4 linked regions of the Drosophila melanogaster genome follow. The protein of the gene in region 1 interacts with the protein of each later gene in a pairwise test. Each region holds a gene or a part of one and is shown in the gene's direction. Other genes may lie near its edges.

What was found.
Region 2: the proteins of CG5111 (region 1) and mRpS31 interact in a two-hybrid assay, tested with the Drosophila melanogaster proteins (one large-scale study listed by BioGRID).
Region 3: the proteins of CG5111 (region 1) and blow interact in a two-hybrid assay, tested with the Drosophila melanogaster proteins (one large-scale study listed by BioGRID).
Region 4: the proteins of CG5111 (region 1) and Mf interact in a two-hybrid assay, tested with the Drosophila melanogaster proteins (one large-scale study listed by BioGRID).

What each region holds. Positions count from the first base shown.
Region 1 is NT_033777.3:25,504,594-25,508,798, forward strand, and holds CG5111 (uncharacterized protein), read left to right. Parts: upstream 1-1,681; 5' UTR 1,682-1,770; coding exon 1,771-3,615; 3' UTR 3,616-3,686; downstream 3,687-4,205. Other genes in the region: CG5107 (uncharacterized protein), read left to right, coding at 624-686, 747-1,325.
Region 2 is NT_037436.4:16,003,444-16,007,113, forward strand, and holds mRpS31 (mitochondrial ribosomal protein S31), read left to right. Parts: upstream 1-1,749; 5' UTR 1,750-1,846; coding exon 1,847-1,884; intron 1,885-1,948; coding exon 1,949-2,404; intron 2,405-2,470; coding exon 2,471-3,107; 3' UTR 3,108-3,156; downstream 3,157-3,670. Other genes in the region: hzg (herzog), read right to left, coding at 456-537; mib1 (mind bomb 1), read right to left, coding at 3,290-3,430, 3,490-3,670.
Region 3 is NT_033778.4:7,581,034-7,589,065, reverse strand, and holds the start of blow (blown fuse), read left to right. Parts: upstream 1-1,986; 5' UTR 1,987-2,134; intron 2,135-3,580; exon of another isoform or gene 3,581-3,708; 5' UTR 3,709-3,955; coding exon 3,956-4,010; intron 4,011-4,843; exon of another isoform or gene 4,844-4,897; coding exon of another isoform or gene 4,898-4,931; intron 4,932-6,137; coding exon 6,138-6,452; intron 6,453-6,711; coding exon 6,712-8,032. Other genes in the region: CG1360 (uncharacterized protein), read left to right, coding at 95-562.
Region 4 is NT_033777.3:15,177,263-15,181,975, reverse strand, and holds the start of Mf (myofilin), read left to right. Parts: upstream 1-1,705; 5' UTR 1,706-1,768; intron 1,769-2,625; exon of another isoform or gene 2,626-2,654; intron 2,655-2,795; 5' UTR 2,796-2,846; coding exon 2,847-2,937; intron 2,938-3,486; coding exon 3,487-3,696; coding exon of another isoform or gene 3,697-3,755; exon of another isoform or gene 3,756-4,713.

The sequences.
Region 1 (4,205 bases):
GTTATTAACCCTTAACCACACGTTACCATTTATAACCCGAACAAAGTGAACCGAGCGCGTTAAGCTGACAATGGCAACAAATTTTTTTCCTTTTGCCGTCTATTGTGCCCGGAAAATCTGGTGGCAGCCACCATTCAATTGTGGTTCTTTTCCTCTTTGTCTGCGGTTTATGGCTTTTAATTCGTTCTGAGCCTCGATTCTTAAGGGTGCCCAAGTGAATTTCGCACTGACATCAACGGATATTGTGTGATAATTGCCACAAGAAAAATATTCGACATTTTTAGAGCGTACATTTCGTTTGCATTTAAATGGGAAAATTAATTAATCATTTCAGATTTGTATTCATTTAAAACACTTCAATTGAGCAATATGAAAATTAACCGATCGAAAATGTATATTTTAAGTATCTTAAGTGGCTGATAAGTGCTGATAGATAGATACATATAAGTACTTTTGAGGTAGGTAGATTGATTACACATTTCTAGATGATAGCCGTATAAAAAAAAGGTATTAGATAGTTGGAGTGGGCAATTCGATTAATTTCTGATAAGACGTAGTTTTCAGCGGGTATATAAACTGATCTTCACTACTGGCCGAGAAAATATTATTAATTGGACAGTAAAATGAAAGCCATCACCGTTTGCCTTTTGGTTCTGGTTTCGGCCACCTGTCTGCTGACCACGCGGGTAAGATTTGCCAATTAAAAAAAAATTAACTTAAATATAATAAATATTTCTTTGTTTCAGGCCAATGCAATAGAATTGCTGGAGAACGAGAACTTCGACTATGATTTCGACTTTGAATCGGAATTGGAGCAGTTGCTGGATGAACTGGACAATGACACTGACTACATGGATGTGGAGGCACAGGGCTTTATTAGAACATGCCTTAAAATCCTTCGCAAGGCATTGAAAACGGTTCGAGGCACCAACTGTATTATCAAGGAGGTGACAAACATCCTTAGTTCATGCACCAGCTATGTGGATGCTATTGATGCCTGTGGCACTGCCATTCCCAAGGATGTGGCCAAGATTGTGGACTCCGTTAAGGAGATTATCAAAATCTGCGACGATATTTTGCATCTGCATTCGAAACTTTGTGCCACGGATAAGTCCGTGGGCTCGTCCATCAAAAACTCGGCCAAATGCTTCTGGAAATTGTTCAAGGCATCCATGAGGCTGACCCGAAAGATCAATAAAACCCTAAAACTGATTGCCAAATTGCCAGCCGATACCAGTTCCTGCTTCGTAAATGCCACCAATAAAGTTACAGCGTCCTTTAACTCTTTTCTGCCCAACATTGATGTCTGCATCGAGTCTATGTAAATATATTATTATTAAAAAATAAAAAACTCTTAAGCTTACAGCAGATTAGATTTCAATTCTCGAGCCTTTGTTCCCAACAACCTATGAACAATAATATAGTGATTTGATTGAAAATAAATTTTGTTTCATTATGATAAGATAACTTCAATTTCCAACTATGAGCCGAACTGAAGCGATTCGATTAAGATTCGTTAATAAATACAATCGGTATCTAGAGAGGGTTCTTGAACAGCTTTATACTGATATGGAAAATTAATTGTAATTAATTATAAATTGCAATTAAAGGGATTTAACTTACGTCTCTGAATTTATAATAATTTAGCATTTTTTAGCATTTAGCAAAAACAGATGTTAAGGTAACACTGAAAGAGCACTGTCAGAGTTGAAAATGTTCGTCATAAATTTAGAAATTATTTAGTTCGATTCGGGCACGACAGCACGAAACATGTCCCAGATAAACAATATATTCATTAAGCTGCGAGCTCGTCTGCGGGAGCGTGATATCAAGTTGTGGGAGGAGCCGTACTACTTCGAGGAGGTGGGCAGCATCGAGTCGGAGATGGACCGCCTGGCCAGGGACATCAGTGGCGAACTGGGCATCAGTGTGTCGGACTGCAGAATTGCCTTGGGCGAATTGCAAGATGGTGCCTTGCGGAAGCTGGCGGCTCGCCGAGAGTTCAATGACACCGGATTGGCCACGTTCAATGTGCGGTGTGTGGACAGCAAGGGTGGCACCGTGCAAATGCTGGAGATCAAGTGTTCGCTGGGTGGACTGGGCTCGGATCTGCAAGCTGAGGTGGCCAAGAAGTTGGATATCGTTGATTCCAGTCATGTGAAATGCATCTCCGGAGGACGCATCATCAATGGGCAGAAGACACTGGCCTCGCAGGGGCTCAAAACCAATCAGCACCTCATGGTGGTTGTGGGTGGAACTAATGAAGGTCAGGAGTTGCACGAACGTATCCAAAGGATTCGTGCGGACTTGGAGTTAGTTGCGGATGCAGATCGCTTTATGGAAATGGAGGATCAGGATGGACGTCCAATTTTCTTGCCACGCGAGGAAAATCGATCCCTATTGATGGCCATGAGCATGTACGAAGTGGCCAGAGTTGCCATGCATAAGGAGAACTTCGATGAGGCTCTACTCATCCTACTCGAGGCCGATGAACTCTTCTCCCAATGTGACTCAAAGCTCCTGGAAGGAGTGGATAACTATGCCTTAATCAATCTAGATATTGTTTGGTGCTATCTGCGCCTGAAGAACATCACCCAACTGCCAGATGCACAGCGACGTTTGGATATTTGCGAGAGGGGCTTTGTCAAGAGCTATGGCGAGCAGTTCATTCGATTGTTCTCGATTAAGGGTCCAAGTAGCCCGGAAAGAGCTTTGATCATGAGACTGCACCTGCTCCAAGGTGTGCTCCTCTTTCACCAAAATCGCCGGGATGAGGCCTACGAAAAACTGGAGGTGGCGACAAAGGACTTGTATGAGGTCAAGATGAATGACACTGAGCTAAGCACTCTCGTTGAAATGGGCTATGAGGAATCGGATGCCAGGTTGGCCTTGAGATCCTGTGCGGGCCAAGTGGATAGGGCCATTCAATATATCCAGGAACGCAGCGAGAGAATCAGTGAGGAGCGAAAGAACTCGGCTGCCGAGAGGCAAGTCAACCAAGAGATGATTTTCGCCGGTCAAGGAGGAGAATGGGTCAATCCACGCAGCATTATTAGGCTCATGGAAATGGGCTACGAAAGGCGTTTGGTTGTGGAGGCTCTGAAGAGGACCAAAAATAATCTCGATCGCAGTTTGGATCTACTGCAGCGTCATTCAGATGAACTTAGGGCCAATCTGCCGCCCATTCCTCCTGTCGATGAATCGTTACTTACTACTCTACAGCACCTTGGATTTTCGGAGATTTCCGCTCGAGATGCTTTGGAAACTACGGGCAACAGTTTCCATAAATCTCTGAAATTTCTATTGAAAAGTTTCCCCAACGAATCGGAATTACTTCATGTTATTGAAACCATGACAAAAGTTTTGGAGGTTCAAGAACCTACGAGCTCAACTAATGCGACTGCAAATAGCACCACCCCACTCGTAAACTTATCCAACAGCAAGGTGAACTTGCTCCAGACTGTCCTTAGCGAGGCCAAGTCGGAGATTGAGTCTTACAATGCCTTCAAGAGATTCAACGAGAACCTCGCCGAGAACAACAACCACTACTTAAACTTGCCCTTGGATCAGGAGGAGCAAATTCTGATCGAGTATAAACGTTTGCTCGAGGGCTAATAAGAAAAAAATAAGATTTTTTTTAAATATTTGTAAATCAAAAAACAGGCAATAAATAAGTACGTACAAATATTTATTGTTGCTTTGTTATATTTTTAACATCTTTTCTCACCATGTTACCATTTCATTTCACAGCCATTCCACTATAGTCTGAATGGTACCTTTTTGTGGCCAAAATTAATAACATAACAGCTAGTCAATTAAATAAAAAAAAAATAAAAAAAATCCAGCTTATAGTGCGTCCCTTCAAAAACTCAAATACTTATTGCCCAGCAAAGTATGCTATGCATTTTGGTTGCTGATGTGGCTGCTGCTATTTGCTCACTCATGTGCATAACGTCACAGTTTTTCACAATTTTGTGTATGTGTGTGTGTGCGCGTGCTCTTTGCGTGTGGCTGACTTTGTGAAAATTAATAAGTTTTCAGACCCTCTCGCCAATCTGCCAATGCCATGCGAAAGTTCTGCAGATGATGGCCAAATAATTTGTCGTCCTGTTTTGTGGCGTTATTTCCAAATCGTTAAACCTAAAATAAACTCCGCTCAGCTTATTTCACTCTTCCATTTCTTTCTTCATTTCGTGTTTTTTTTT
Region 2 (3,670 bases), on another chromosome or scaffold:
TATTTAGCTTAGACAGAATTGAACAACTTTTTCCAGCTACAAGTTAATTGCATGTTGTTTGAATATATTTTTCGAATTAAAAGCACTTTTGTCTTTCATCAGTTTGTTTTTGGAGTGGTTCCTGTACAAATTAAAAAGGCCAATGCCATTTAACTTGCTGCTACTTTCGGAAAGTACGACATATGTACAACTAACTTATTCCCACAATTATATTGACCGCAATTGGGTGTGTTAGAAAGGTCAGCGGGGTGTTGGGCCCTCTTCTTTGGGAGGTTATGGTGGGTGGTGGTTGGTAAGTGGGGGAAACTTCTTGGCAGCGGACAAGTGTCCTTTCGTCTTTGTTGTGACGCCTTCGAGTGGCGATGAGTCATGAAGGGAGCTTTAAATATATGTATGTGTATGCGGACTGCGTTTTCAGCGATTTCCCCAGTTTGGCCCCCATTATTTGTTCTCACCTTTGTCATTGGGATAGCTGGGATAGACGTTCAGTTGCTCGTCGTCGCGGGAAACTTGCGTTATTATTGATGTTGCATCCATTTAAGCACTCGGTTTGTGGCTCCACTTCGCTTAACAGGTTGATAAATCGGATTCGGATTCAGATACTGATTCAGATCGGTTTCGTATAGGATAGCTGCAAAATGTTGCGCACACATGAGAGATAGAGATACATTGGATATGGCAATTATCGCGAGATGATTCCATGTTTTCTTCGTATATATGGTAAGTGTCGTGCAGTATATATGTCGTACATATATAATACATCTACCACGTATATATAGCTCACACACACACACATGCACCAATTGATAGCCTGCCCCAGACAGTGGAATTTTACAATTACGCTTTGGCCGTCCGTTCGCTTCGTTTTATTTCTCGATGCAAATGGGTTTCCCTTTGATATTCACCTCGCTATTTATCGCTCTCTCTTTCGCTCTGTTGCACTTTCGCCTCTCTGTTTTAGTAAATTTAAAACTTTTCAACGAATTTCAATAAAAAACACTTTCTTTCTTTCCTTCGCTCTTGTTTTTGGTTGCGCTCATTCTTTTACTTCTTTATCCGCGTCTGCTTTTCGCACACAGCTTCGCAGCGTTTTATTTATAAACGCCCACACAGACACAGCACTCACACACACTCTCGCACGCACACTAGCTCGGCCGCTGGTGTTTTCGTTATTTCGTCTCGTTATTTATTTATTTTTTTTATTTTTTGCCATTAATTAATCGCGCAAAATAACAAAACGCGTGTGTACGTCGAAAAAAAGTAACAGGAATAGCGCAAAAAACAAAACGTGTGATTAGTGTGACCGCGGTGGATGCGAGACTTATTACCAAGTGCAAAGAAAAAGTGGTAACATTTCGTGTTTACCTTAGAATCACAGGTTGAAGAAAGGCTTGATTATAAGTTAATTACTTACAAGGAGAATGTAGAATTCTATAAAAGGAGCTTGTTTTGAACTACATAATTATTTTCATAGATTTCCAAATTCGATAATCAAAGGTCATACTATCTGGTGCAATTTGGGCTGCCAACTGTGGTCAAGTTAATCTATAAAATTCTTGATTCAAAATGCAATTTTAAGAACATTTTATTTCAAATTATATCAAATCAGATAAAAAACAAATGTCCATGAAATGATTAGGTTAGTTAAGGATATTTTCAATCAAAACACTATAAGAAATAGGACAAGGGAAGCCAAACATAAAATAAAGCCAAATTTAACTATAAACTAGCTTAAACGGCAGTGCAAACAGTTCATCTGGTCTGGCAACTCTCCGCCGAATTGTTGTTACGCGAGCGATTTCTTTGGTCTTATTTCTAGTTAAAATTATCAAAGAAATATTATAAAATGTTGGCCGTACGAAGTTCCCAGAGATTGGGCCTACGGTAGGCCACCCGTCTAATTTGAAATAACCAAAAGAAATCCGTCACTCGACTATTTATTTTTCAGTTCCCTGCTACCGTCTGCCTTCAAAAACGTGGGATTGGTCAACTACTCCTCTTCGCAGTCCAAAAACGACGATGGATACTCCTCTTCGGACGACGAAAAGCCCACGAAGAAGAAGGAGGAACCTGTGGAAACGGCGGCCCAGCGGCTGAACCGCCTGTTGGGCACCATGCAGGCCACGGATCAGCTCTCGGCATCGGACTTTCCACGTCCTGGTGATGCCAACAGGAAGCGGAGGGAGGCCCAGAAACAGGAGGCAGCCGCCAAGAATGTTCTAACTGCGGCCAAGAACATTGCTAGCATGCTGGGCACCAGTGAGAGCGACAAGAAGCAGACAGAGTCTGAGCTATTGGCCAAACTCCTTGGCCATGGAAGCGAGTCCTCTTCAGCAGCGACCGGAGAAAATCAGACGGCGGATGTTTCGGGATCTCCTTCTGGTGATAAGGAACTCAATCTGAGGTGTGTAAAAATGATTTTCTCGCATTAATGGATAATCTAATAAAATTTATTTTCCTTACACAACAGTGATATTATCGTGGGCATGAAGATCGATCGTCGTCAGCAGCCGCAGCAGGTGGAGCAGACCCGCGGCGAGTACGTTCGCCGCTCGCTGGCTTCCAGATTCAAGCCACAGAATCGAGATGGGGCTTATCAGCGGTCACAGAGGCAAACCAAACGAGAGGCTGAATCCTTTACGGGCAGTGTCAATTTGTACGGCGGGGAACCGTTGGGTATCTTCAAGGATACCCAGCTGCCGATTTCCAACGACATCCTTTCAACCTGGTCACAGCTGAGTGAGCGGGAGCTTAGTTTACAAGCTTCCCATCCCCCGGCAAACTACTTCGAGCAAATGGTCCTGTGGACGGATCAAAAGAAGGTGTGGCGCTTTCCCATCAACAATGAGCAGGATTGGGAGGACGAGCATAACGTGGACTTCTCGGAACACATTTTTCTGGAACAACATCTCGAGGATTGGTGTCCTAGCAAGGGGCCTATTCGCCATTTCATGGAGCTCGTCTGCGTCGGCTTGTCCAAGAATCCCTACTTGACTGCCCAGGAGAAGAAGGATCACATTTTCTGGTTCCGTGACTATTTCCAGGCCAAGAAGGACATTCTGAGGGATCTGATTAGCAAGGAGCCAAGCAAAAGTATTTCTGCTTAATGTTTTTGTTTGAATATTTGTTAAAAATATATTTTTGCTTTATAAGACCAATCCGATATATAGTTATATATATGATATTGTGTGTGTATATATGTGTGTATAAGAATGTGAGTCCTTTAAATATCCTAATACTTCGAAGGCTGTGCAGACTGTGCGCGGAATGTGTGAACCGGGAACGGGCTTCAGAAGAGCAGGATGCGTTTTTCCACGGTCTTGCGGCAAATGGGACACCCCTCAATCTGGTCGCCACACATCTGGCACGTGCCGTGGCCACATAGGAAGACCATGTTCTTTATGCGGTCAAAGCAGACAGGACACATAGTCTATAAGATAAATTTGAGGATCAGTCACTGAACATATTTTCAATCTTATTTGAGCTCACCTGTTCCTTGATGTCCTGCAACTGCTGCTTCAACTTTTGGACATCATCCATCTGGAAGTTGTTGACATTGGAAGGAGCCACCATCGCGTTTCCAGCTGCTGACAGATTCGAGACATTCGAAGAGGCTGCTGCAGCGGCCAGGAGATTATTCTGGCTATTCAACTGATTGCTGCTGCCCGCC
Region 3 (8,032 bases), on another chromosome or scaffold:
ACCAAGGAAGCTGAAAGATCTTTATACAGTGTTTTGTGTGTGTACATATGGACCCATTCCTGCCACTCTAACCACAACCCAATTCATTTTGCAGGCCGTGGACTGCGATGTTTGCCATCACAAGACAATGTTGGCTCTGGAGAAGAGCCGAAAGCGCGCCAAAGTAAAAGCCACGGAGGAGACAATGGTAGTCACACAACCTGCGCCAGCGGGCCAAAACAAAAAGAAGGCCAAAACGAAGAAGTCTCAGGCGCCGAATAAAGATATCAATGCAGGCCTGAAAATGCAGCAAAAAGCGCCTCAGCGACAGCAGCAGCCTTCGAAATCGCCAGCTCCATCCAAAAACGCGTCCCAACCAGTCGGCATAGCTTCCCAAAACCCAAGTCAGACATCGAAGAAGAAAAAGAAGAAGCCTGCCCAGCCAGCGCCCACCGCACCAAAAACGCAGTCCAAAACCCAGAAGCAGAACGTACTGCTGCAAATAGCTGCCCAGCTGAAGTCGAACGCGTTTAAAGACGCCAGCAAAACGCAGCAGAATCGCCTCCAAGCGTTCCTCAAGTAGCGGCCAGAAGACAGCTCCGGCCATGCATTAAAGTACAAAGAATGAAAATACTTGTTGTGGCACATAATTAAGCGTTAGCACAATACTAGAATCAGACTCTTTGTGCCGCTTGATAAAGCCAGCCGAGGTGGGAACCTGTTATCCACTCGCCCGGTCTTCTGGGTCGAATCACGCAACGGCTATGCACTTATCACTGCTGCCGGAGACAAGTCCAGGCGGGGGGACCCAAGGTTGTCCAGATATTGCGCAGCCAACCTGGTCAGCATGCTTAATTTATTTCTCGGAGCGCAACGTTTAATTAAAATTGAGTTGTTTGCCTCAGCATCCCATGAACGCGTCCTTCAAAACTGCTGCCCAAAAAGGGCAGCCGATCGGCTCTGGACGGGCCGCTTTATCTGCCGCCGATTGTGAAGAGCACACGCACAGGAGAAGGCTCCAGACTCGGCTTCGACCCATGGCCCTCTGCTTACCCCTTTCTGTGCCGAAGACTCGGATTTCTCGGCAGCTGCGGCAACAACATCTGCCTGCCACATTAGAAGATTTCTGGTTCCACAGACTAGCCACTCGGCACGAACATCTTGTATGCATGCACATGCAGAATGAGGAAAAAAAAGTTTACCTTAGGGAAATAATGCCATTTTAAGGACAGTTACTTAATATTAAGAAAATGTGATATACAAACATAAATTGTAATAGAGAGTCTTGAAATTATAATACAAATATGTACAATTATTCGCAATGTTTATATTGTTGTAAACAATAATATTCTGTAATTAAATATCTGAGAAAGGGGAGCCAGAACTTCGACTATCGAGCGTACATTGTGCGCAACAATGTATTTGATGGCAGATTGAGCACCTTTAAGTCGTTCTACTTATGGGAGCCCGACCGTAGTGTAGCGGCCTGTTTTGCCATTGCCAAAATGGGCATGATGCTCTCTAAAATATGATATCAGCAGCGTGATCGTCTCTCCAAATGTGGCAAGAGCGGTACAATTTTCGGGTGCCTACTCCAGGATGGGGTATCCGAATGGGACATGCCGCTTGGGCGTGGGCATCCAACTCCGCCAAGCCGGCCGGCTATTTATTCCACCGAAAAAGCAAAGCAAAGTCGTATAATATTTCACTGCAACACTAAAAAAGTCATCTAAATTTTGATAGAAGTTGGTCATATAAATCGCACTACTTCTTAGCGAACCTTCTTAGAATGGTTAACATAATCGTAGGCTGTTTAAACTTGTCTTATAGTTATGAATGAGTAATTTCTTTAGAATTGAAATTTTGCGTACCGAATTTAAGTTCAATTTTTTCGCGCCGTGCAGAGAGAGAGAGATCCAAAGCCGAGGGCACTTCGGCTGCGTTCGGGTGGCCATCGGCTGGCGGCGGCCCAAGCTGGCGCTCCTAGAGCGGACGAGCTCCAAGTCGGGCAGTTAAGCTCGAGTGATTCATGGTGGCGCAACAGCCGGAAAGTCGCGCTCGCTTCTTGGCTCCGGCGGTGAACAGTTCGCCCGCGAGCGAAAAGGTGTCAACGTAGTCAGAACGCAGTGGAAAACCGGATGCAAGACCGAAATCGGTGCGTGGATGCATTTCGTAATTCGTTATTGGGGGCTCCTCGGCAGCAGGAAGCCGGCCATTCGGGGGGATCGGAAATGACCGGAAGTGCGCAAGGAGCGCGCGGCGGAGTGGGGAGTGCGTTGGCGATGGCGATGGCAGTGGCAGTGGGGTGTCGGACACGCCTGCGCACAGGTTTCCATTGAGTTTCGGGGCCGGAAAAGTCTCGCGCGGCGAAGCCAGCTGGCCAACAGTTTGTTTGGCTTTTCCGCGGAACGACAGCCAGTTGGGAGCTCGCCATTCGATTCGATTATCCATTGCAAACAAAGGTGTCGCGGTCTCCAGTTGCAAATGTTCTGAATCAATAAATATACTATATATGTGTACATATTTTCAACGGCTGGCACAAAGGAAGCAAATACTTCGGCCGCTCGGTGCAAATCAAATTACATTTCTGTTTTATGGTCACGATAAAAAATAAAGAACCGAAAAGTAAAAGCTGTCTCTGGACACGTAGAAATGGCAGCGGGTGTATATAGTGAGGCCCAGAGAAATGGTCAGCAGTTCGCTTGTACAGTAGAACATGGCCATAAAGTTCGAGAAACTCTCTGACTGACTATCTATCTATCTATCTATCAATCAACCTAACTGACAATAACGTTCTGAAATATAGAAGTTATTTCAATATTTGCACACTAATAAGTTGGGTATTCAAATCGGTCAGTTTGAGATATTTTTCTTTGTAGCAGAGACAATTTTGGGTAAGCAGAAGTGCGAGAGTATTTGCATCTTCTCGCCGGACAGACGGTCGCTTCTTTGTGGCGACACGCGTCGCCCACAGATGAGTCACAATTAAAGGGCTTGGCCCCAAACAAGGGGCCCCGTCGCAGGCACAGGTCCCCAGTTTCAAGTCCCGGGTCCGAGCTCCTCTGCGTGTGGCCGCCCGATTTGTATGCGGTTCTTGGCCACAGCACAGTGGTAACCGCAAATGACAGGCACGCCAGAGGAGTGAAAACTGAAAATTATAAACAAAAACGGAGACACCCGACAAGTGCAGAGGCCCAATAAATGGGGATGTCGTAATGACACTTAATGGCAAGCACACACTGTTTCCCCATCAGCGAATCCAGATACTCTAGCCGCCAGATACCCAGAGATACATAACGTCATCGCTTGATTTTCATTTTCCATGGGGCGCCAAACGAAGCGTGCAACCGAAAAGGCGAAAAGAGCAGACAATAGTAAAAACGAAATATAGAGAATAGAGCGCAATAGAGATTGCATTGTATCTGAATGTCTGAATGTCTGGAAATCTGGTTGTCTGGATGTCTAGGTATCTGGATATCCGTGCTGCTGCATCGATGTCCCAGCTATTTATAGGTCGACTCCTCAGCGGGGGAGGTAGTTGCCGTGGCACGGCAGCATCGAGCATCTGATAGCCCGGGAATGGGTATATGCGTGTACCTTCAGTAGCACTCCGGTCGCAATCCGTTCCGCGCTCCACTCCCGTCATCGCAATCGAAGATAGTGCATCCGATCGGTTCTGCTGTGCATGTGATCTAATAAAAATACAAATGTGTTATCCCATTTTGACAGCAAACTGTTAATTTCTAAGGCAAAACGCCGTGTGGTGTGCAGTTGGTGGATATGCCAGATACAGATACAGATGACTATTCCGATCCAGATCGCAAAGAAGCCACAATAAAGCCCGGGCGAGAAATCAAGCGTTCGGCCGGCCAAACAACAACTAGCACTCAACGCACATTAACGCAAATCGCCTCAAATTAACACTGAACACTAAAATCGGAATACAAAAGTGCGGATACAATACTATTTAGAAGCCATGAATCCGAAACCAACAACTACCAAGCTGGCCGAAATTGAGCAGTTTTTGTTGGGTAAGCCAGGTTTTTCTCAAAGAATCGGTCTTGGGTGTTAATAGTATAAGTAGCTATTTATCAGCACATAAAAGTGCTTATGAGATACTCGTATTTGTTTAAGACAACTATTTAAAAGCGGTTGGAAAGCAGCAAAATAATCCTTGGTTTACAATAGCCAATCTCATATTTCTTCAAAACTTATTTTTATGATTTTTTTTTTTTTTTTTTTTTTTTTTTGTTTCCATCGATAGTGTTCCTATCTCATAAAGAAAATTCTACTTATGGCATACCTATTTTTCTGCGTGTAGCTAAAATCAGCAAAGCAAAATTGAAGCCAGTTAGTGTGAGATAGATCAACAGAAACTTTGTTAATTTCGCCAGGCAAACAGCGCCATCAAAAAATTACACACCGACTCAAAGTTGAGAAGAGATGGAGGAGGAGGAGGCGGAAGAGGAGGACGAGGAGGAGGAGGCGATCCAAAACATAACCATTAACAATAACCCAGTGCCGGAGTATTAGTATTGACTCATTCCGCAGGCGCCCGAGCTTAATACTCTTTTGTTCTTCTTTTGGCCTGTGACCAGACCATCGGACTCTTCTGGATATTTTAGTGGCCCTCCTCCTCTTCCTCCTCCTTCGCCTCGCGCGTATTTCGTACACTTTATCGAGTCCCAATTGGGCTCCTCTTTGGAGCGCTGTTCCCCCGAATCGTTTATATATATGTACATATATATATTTGTGGTTATTTCGTTAAATCATTCTACATGTGTATGTGGACGAGAAAGACAATAAACAGCGGATTGGACATGCCGCAGAACTAAGCCTTAAGCGCTCTTTTAGCCCATCTTGGACCTTCCCTAGTCGGTTCCACTTTCTCGGGTCTCGGTTCAGTGGCTCTCAGGGCATGATCAGGGGAATAGAGGAGCACGTACATATATGTATGTATATCCACCCTCCTCCGATGACTGTTGCTTCAATTTATATTTGTTTGTGTATGCCTCACATTGATACATATATCGTACAAATGAGTTTCTGAGGAGTTTCCCAACGATCCTGATTAAGACACAATTATCAACTTAGCAGTTGGTTTCTGCAACACATATTACAGCGAGACAAGCTTATTGATAACAAATATACATACTTATAATGTTTTATAGGATAAACTTCTTCATTATTATCCCATTTTAAATTGGTTAGTTTGCACCTAGTAATCTTTCCTCTGCTGTAGACTTAAAGGCCAAAGTCAGAGTGCTGATTTGGCATACAGATCAAACAAATTATACTTTTAATGCCCTTTTCCCTAATTCATTTGGTTGGAAAGATATGCACTGTCAAGATCCCCAATTATCCATAGTTTGGGAGCAAAAAGTTGCCTTTGCACGAAACGTTTTAACTGAACGGTTAAGTTAAGTCTTGTTTCCACTTCCTTAAAAAAAAAATTATCGCTCCTAACTATATATAATAAGAATTTGGCTTCAAGCTGAAACTATTATTTGTCCAAGGCGTTTTTAACAATTAAATGATGGAAAGTTGCCAAAAAAAACTCCAAGTGACCAAGCTCTTCTGGTTAAGATCTCAAATTCTTAAGGGCATTTCCAGTTCGCATTTCGCCAGCACGACTTTTGGATATTTTTCTTATTTCCATATTTGGACATATTACTTTTAAGAGCAGTTCACCGGAGCTTTGCGTGCTTGAGTTTTAACAAGATTTCGGGCAAATTTCAGCGTCTTCTGGTTTTCTGTGGATGTGGGCATTTCTGGACAGAGGGTGGGGTAACAGACACCAGAGTTAACTTTCTTGGTCAGTGAAATTATTTTTAATTGCCCCGGTCAATTCGCAGTTGACTCTTGAGCAAGAGCTTATGAGGTCACTTATGTACATGTACATGTACATACCCACATGCGTTTGTGACCGTACTTCTGGCTGGGAACGGTAGAGCCAGTGAGTCACGGCTGCAGAAGTCGGAGCAGAAGAGGCACCACCACTCCACTGGCCCACTAATTGCCCGCCCAAGAAAGCTACTCTGTTGCTCAACTGCCCCGCCATTAGGCTCAATGATGCGTTTAAAAATAATAGCCGATGGGGCCGCCGCCTTATTTAGCCAGCTGAAGAGCTTACGATCCTCCCCTCTGCTTGCTTTCAGATGTCCGCGCCCACTTCCGAGCCTCGCTGGAGACCTCGGAGTACGAGAACACCTCGAACCTATTCCATGTGACGGCCGCCGAGCAGACCGCCGCTCTTCTGGCCCGCTGCGAAATCCTGCTGGCTGCAGCCAGTTCTGCATCGGGATCGGGATCGGGACTGGAACTGGGATCAGGGCTGGGATGCGCAGACGAGCAGGCGGCAGCTAACCATCGTTCCAGCCTGGTCGACTGTGTCGATAGCAAGGTGGGCGCGGAGACCGGTCCCAGCGGTTATCTGGAGATGCTTGCCTCCCCGTCACCCTCGAAAAGCTCACGTGAGTGCTGAACACTACTCATACATATTACATACAGTCATGCTTCCCTAACTGAAATCCAAATAAACCATGCTAAAGTATACTGGTAACTTTTGTAAGCTCTACAATTATGTATTTATATTTAAAAAAAAACGGTACATTGTTGAAAGAGACTTAAACCAGCATAATGGTTGCAAAGCGGATAGCCAGGCTTTAGAAGCACTACTGTACCTGTACCTCTCTAATGCCTACAATTAGCACTAATTACCCGTAATTGCAGTGTCCGCCTCGCGGGAGTACATTGATTTGGGCAGCAGCGGATCCCTGGATCGTTGCTCCGTCAATCAACCGGTTCCGGCAGCGAAGGACAAGGAGCCACATCAGCAGCTCTACGAGATTTGCCAGGGCCAGGGAGCGGGCCAGGACGAGGATGAGGCGCAACAGGCGATCACCTTTACCCACGAGGTGTTCATTGACTGCCCGTATGCAGATCTGCCCGCTGGCCACTTGTCCCTGCAGAGGTCAACAAAGTACGGACAGCTGCAGAGGATTGTGCCCAAGCGGCTGTTCTTCGACCAGACCCGCAAGTGCTACTGTGGCATCCTCAACGATTGGATGCTGTGCTATGCCGACGGCCCGACCGCCTGTCGACCCAGCAGCACGCTCTACTTGAAGAGCTCCTCCATCGAGATTGAACACTTCGGAGAGGGGAAGCGGCGCGACATCTGCTTCCAGATCACAACAGACGACCCCAACAAGAAGTTCGTGTACCAGGCCAACAACGAAGTCGATGCCAAAGAGTGGATACACGCCATTGAGGCGGCCATCCGCGGAGATGCTGGTGCTCATTCAGCGTTAAAGACTCCACCGCCCCGGAAACTGCCCACGCCGCCGGTCCAAAAGAAATCCACCTACACAGCAGCGGATATCATCTACGAGGAGCCCTCGCCCGTGTATGGTCTCATAGACTCCTCCTCCATGGTGCTCCCTAAGCTGCCGGAGAAAAGCAACAGCCCAAGCGCCCTCGCCCGACGTTTCGAGTACGATGTGCCCAAATGCCCGGCACAGCCGCTGCAGGACACCTCCTCCAGGGTGGCATCTGTAAGTGGGGAGCTGGAATCCCTGGGACTACTCAACGAGGGAGATATTAAGGTGCAACCGCAGCCTTCCAGTTTGCACGGAAGCATATCGCTGGACTTCCAGGCCAGGGTGAAAACAGTGCACAGTGAGCTCTCCACCCAGTTATCAGCGGCCGGTCCCAGTCCGGATCGTCTGAAAAAGGCAGCGAAAAAGAGCTATTCGAATGGTAGTGAACCGGAGATGCTCTCTCCCCTGACCAGCCCCGTCCAAACGCCCACCAAGGATCAGAAGAAGCAGCGCAAGTCAACCACCTCACCGCAATCCAGTCCGGTCAGCAAGGACTGCGACAAGCTGGCACGAAACTGGTTCCTCAGTCGCCTTAACAAGAGCACCGGATTGAAGGCGACCAACACGGGCAGTGCATCACCAACCAACGCCAAGTGCAAGCAGAGCGAGAAGGAGAACCTGCTGACGGAAGCGGAGCTGGGCGAGGGCTATGATGCAAGTCCTGGTGATCGGTA
Region 4 (4,713 bases), about 10 Mb from region 1:
TTGTTTGACGTTGCTTGCATATGTGCCCTCTAAATAATGAGCTTACATTTTGACCCCATTTCCCAAGGGACATAAATTTCTCTAAGATAATTATTTTGTAAGCCGCTAGGCCAATTAAAATATTTTTAAAATAACTAAATTTTATTTGAGATTCCTTTTAAGGGTATGCAATTCCTAGCCAATTTTTGTGTCTCCTTGAGCAAAACATCAAAGATGTTGGAACAAACACAATCAAGCGCCAATAAACTAAAATAAATTAAAATGAAAAACCTGAAAAAAAAACGAAAGTAAAATAAAAAGTTGCTCAATTCATTGTTCTGTGAAGCCAAAAAAGTGTGCCAGAAAGTAAAAGTTGAATCACATCACCGAAATCACTGATTGGCCGAAAGAAAAACCTTTGCCAGGTATTTCCCAATTTCCCGTGAGTTTTTGTGCATTTTCATTTGATTTTCGATTTGGTTCATCAAACCGCATTCGGTTCATTCAAAGTCAAGTTCAAGTTTAAATGACGCCGCCCGCCTGTTTAAGGGTAAAATTCACAAACAAGATTTATATAAGCTAAACAAACAAAGTCAAAAGAACATTTGGATGCAAGTGCATTTGGCCTTGAGTTTATCGGCGGAAAAAGAAAACACATGCAGGAAATTCTGTAAGCGATCTGCACGATTGAAAAGGTCAACATGATCTCCATGAATGTATTTACTATTATTAGAAACATATGTACTCCCAGATCTGCCCTTCAACTCGTTTCGATGTAATTGTATATGATGGGGGAAGCTTTACCCATCTTTGTTTATTCGTTTTCGTAGGAATTTCCCTGGAAAATTTGTGTTTAGATTATCAATCATTGGGTCGCACGTGAGCAAAAAAGATATACCCTACAGGAGGGTATAATCGAAAAAAATGAGTTACTAATGTTTTAAATAATCAATTAACGGCAAATTTTACATAACAAGCTAGAAAATATCAAACTATTCATACAGATTTCATTATAAATAATATATTGTGTGCTTAAAGTATCTATTATTTGGTTAAATGTATCTGGACCAGTTTTGTTTATTTACCTGTGTGGGCATGTTGCTGGAAATGATTTTTCCATTATCAGGAAACTAAATTATAGCTAATGCCAAAGCCAAAAGAAAACATAAACAAATAAACGGAATTTAAATGCTTTTATGGCAAAAATTCCATCGGCCTCTAACCACATTTTGAATTAGTTAGTTACAAAAAACCAAATATTGTAATGTATTAGTTAGAGCTTATAGTTCACTGATCAATTCAATACCACAAGTGACGCCTTTCCCTTGAAACATTCAAAGAATATGTTAAAATTATGAAAAACCATAGGAAAAACAAAAACAGAAAATAGGGTGTGGGATTTTCTGAAAGAAATATGGGCTCATATGTATTGTGTATGTGTGGTATGACTTGGCTGGCTTTCTTTTTATGATCATCGCCAGCGTCATCGCGATTTCGGTATTGAATCGTTGCAAACAATGAGTGGGTGCCACCACACGATCTATCAGAATGTGGTGGGAAAGCTTTCCCATAACCAATCTCCGGAGCTTTGCCACACAGATGCGATGAAAATCGCTCACGGATAGAGCAACCTACGCCGTAAAGGAATGCGCCGTGCTTTTGGTGCCGAAACGGAATGGCAAAATTCTGAAACGAGGAAAATTGGTGAGGCGAATTTTCTTGGGGTTTGCAGTTTGAAAAAATTCTTCGTTGAGGATAGATCGCTATTTTTTAGGAGTAAATTTAAATTGTAAGCGAACCCGAAACATATTAAACAACATACAACTGAATAGTAAATTAAATAATTATAAACGAAATGAAAAACAATAAAATCAAATTAAATAAAGTGCACCATCACATCTGAATGTGGAGACGAACAATTAACTGGTGAAATAATTATGGAATTATGATCGCATTATGAATGATCCGATATGTTCCATAGCGAAAAGACATTGACTATAATTATATAAGAGAGATCGTACTCAATGACATTTGATACCGAAGTGTTGGAGCTCATCAAGAGTTTGTGCAGTGAAATATAAAAAACAAAAATCCCACATTGAATTAAATTCAAAATTAATTTAGTTTAATGGATAATAAAGGCCTATTTTAAACATACTTCAACTAAATTGTTCTTAGACTTTGCACACTTCTTCGATACTTAAGTAAATTCCGCTAAAAGCCAGAATAACAGAACGATTTCAACTCAAGGACATTTAAAAATAAAACCCAATTTAGCTGCAGCTTACACACAGATACACTTACATCCACTCACCCATTTACACGCACACACTGACGACACCTAGAATATTTGTTCTCATACTCAGAAGTGTGAAATTTGCTATGCAACAAAAAAATATTTTTATATTCGAGCAACCAGGAGAATACCACGATACATGAAAAATCACAAAAACCGAACCGAAATATATTTATTTTTAGTGAGATTGATCTTGCGTTAGCTGCTGTTGCCCGATCGCGGTATTATATTAGATTTTATGTATATGTTTTATAAACTTTGCACTGCTCTAAAGTGGCACACAGTCTGTTTATTTTCGAACCGAGAGACTTTCAACGCGAAAGCAAAAAATTCAACTGAGAAAACATCCCATCAATCGAGAGACAAGCGATTCGAATTCGTGCGTGCTGCCTGGCATTTCCCGGGAAATAGATTAAATTGAAAACGGACAAAAAAAAAAAATAAAATAAAATAGGCGGAAAGGAAATTTGAAACACATTGGAAAATTGCTAAGCCATCTCTCTTCCCAACTTTATTACAGCGAACGAGTTCAACGATTTTTTCGTGAACAGAACAAAACAAATCGATCAAAATGTTCAAAAACCACTTGGAAATGATTGGGCGCAATGAGAGCCCCAGCAAGAAGGCGAAATTCTGGCAGTCCTACATCAGGTCCCTGAAGGGTAAGCATTCACTAAATAAGCTCAAAAATTACATTAAAAGATAGGATAGTTATTCAAAACTACTATTGATTGCTTAGTCACAATAGTAGGGAGTTTGCATAGTTCCAAAATAATTCAAAAAACAATTGAAGATTAACTCGAAGTGTTCCCATTTCGATATGATTAAGGGACACTCAAAAGTGATATTATTAAACTCTGGTCGCCAGTGAGCAACACAAATAGCTTAGCCTATATGTGTATAGTCTATTTATTTTGGCAGGTGTCATATCAGCCAAGCTATATACTTAGACACGCTCTGCTGGGAAAGCTTTTCGCCATAGTATATTCGAATATATAGAGAGAAATTTGTAAAATATATATGCTCAGGCCTTAAACAAAGAATAGGCTAAAATATAGGATACACATACAGGGGGCGCATCTATGATAGAAACCGAATAGAAATCATACATTTCTGCAGCGCTGGCATTGAGCCAAATAGTGAGAATAGAATAGCCGAAATATTTGAAAAGCAATGAACTAACGCGTCGTTATCCAAACAACTATTTATAGGCTCCGAGGATATCCGTGCCCACGAGGCGCCCCGTGCCTCTCGTCCCTACAGCTCCTACCTGGACTCGCCCTCCTACAGGAGCATCTATGACGAGCCCGCCACCGCCAATGAGCGCGTCCAGTCCTCTGGCTACAGATATCTGCCAGTGAGCCGCGACACCTACGGCTACTCGCCCCGTGCCATCTACGATCATCACTACAGCCGAACAAGTAAGTTGGTACCATATACGGACCACATACTGTACTATCTACAGCCGATTCCCGCCTAACTGCTTCACACAGCCGAGTATCTGTATCTTAATGCTTCCGAAATCGGTGGCCTTGCAAATGTGGATATTGAACTAAGATATCCTGTTATTACCATTTAAAGTATATTTCAAATAATATAGATAAATGATTATGATTGTTTACATAACAAATTATCCGCCATGAAACTAAAAGATATTTTTAACATTCTTGAAACTGGAATAGTAACATAGATGAAATTCAGGTTCAAAAGTTTATGTCAATGCTTTCAATCTAGTTTTTTAGAAAAAAACGTTTAAAATTTTAATTAAAATTTAAAATTAAAAAAGGCAATCACCTGATTGTTATTTGCAAGGTTACATAAGCTTCGGTCCATCCGAACGCCACAAGTTCTTTCAGCCTTTCTGCTTCGCTTCGATGCGCCATCCATCAATCAGTCAGTCAGTCAGTCAATCAGTCAGTCAATCAGTCGAGTCATTACAATCATCTTACAACTGCAATCTCGCCACTGCCTGCTATTGAAGCTTTTGACAACACCTTGAATATCTCAAAACCGCCATATTTTTATGCGTTTCATTTGAGATGAAAACTGGTGCGAGCGCTATGATTTCATAAATTTAAAAATAAAAATGGACAGCGCCAAACGGCCAAATACAATTACGTCAATGAAAATTTTCGTTTCGTATCGTTTCGTTTCGCCTCGGTCGTGTTGATTTTGGCAAAAGGCCTCAAAAATGAACAAAAAAAATAAAAAAAATGAAGACAATAATATAGGCAACACACACAGGCGCTATATATCAAGTCAGGTATATAAGCGGAATTTTTGACTCAATTTTTTTTTTCGGTGCGTGCTCTGGGATCAAATGACTGTGGCGGCCCTCGGTGCGCGGAAACCGAAGTTCTCTTTTCCGATTTTCCGAATTTCCACACACTCACACACTGGCAAAAGCCCCAAGCACCCAAATCCGAACACCCAGCCCC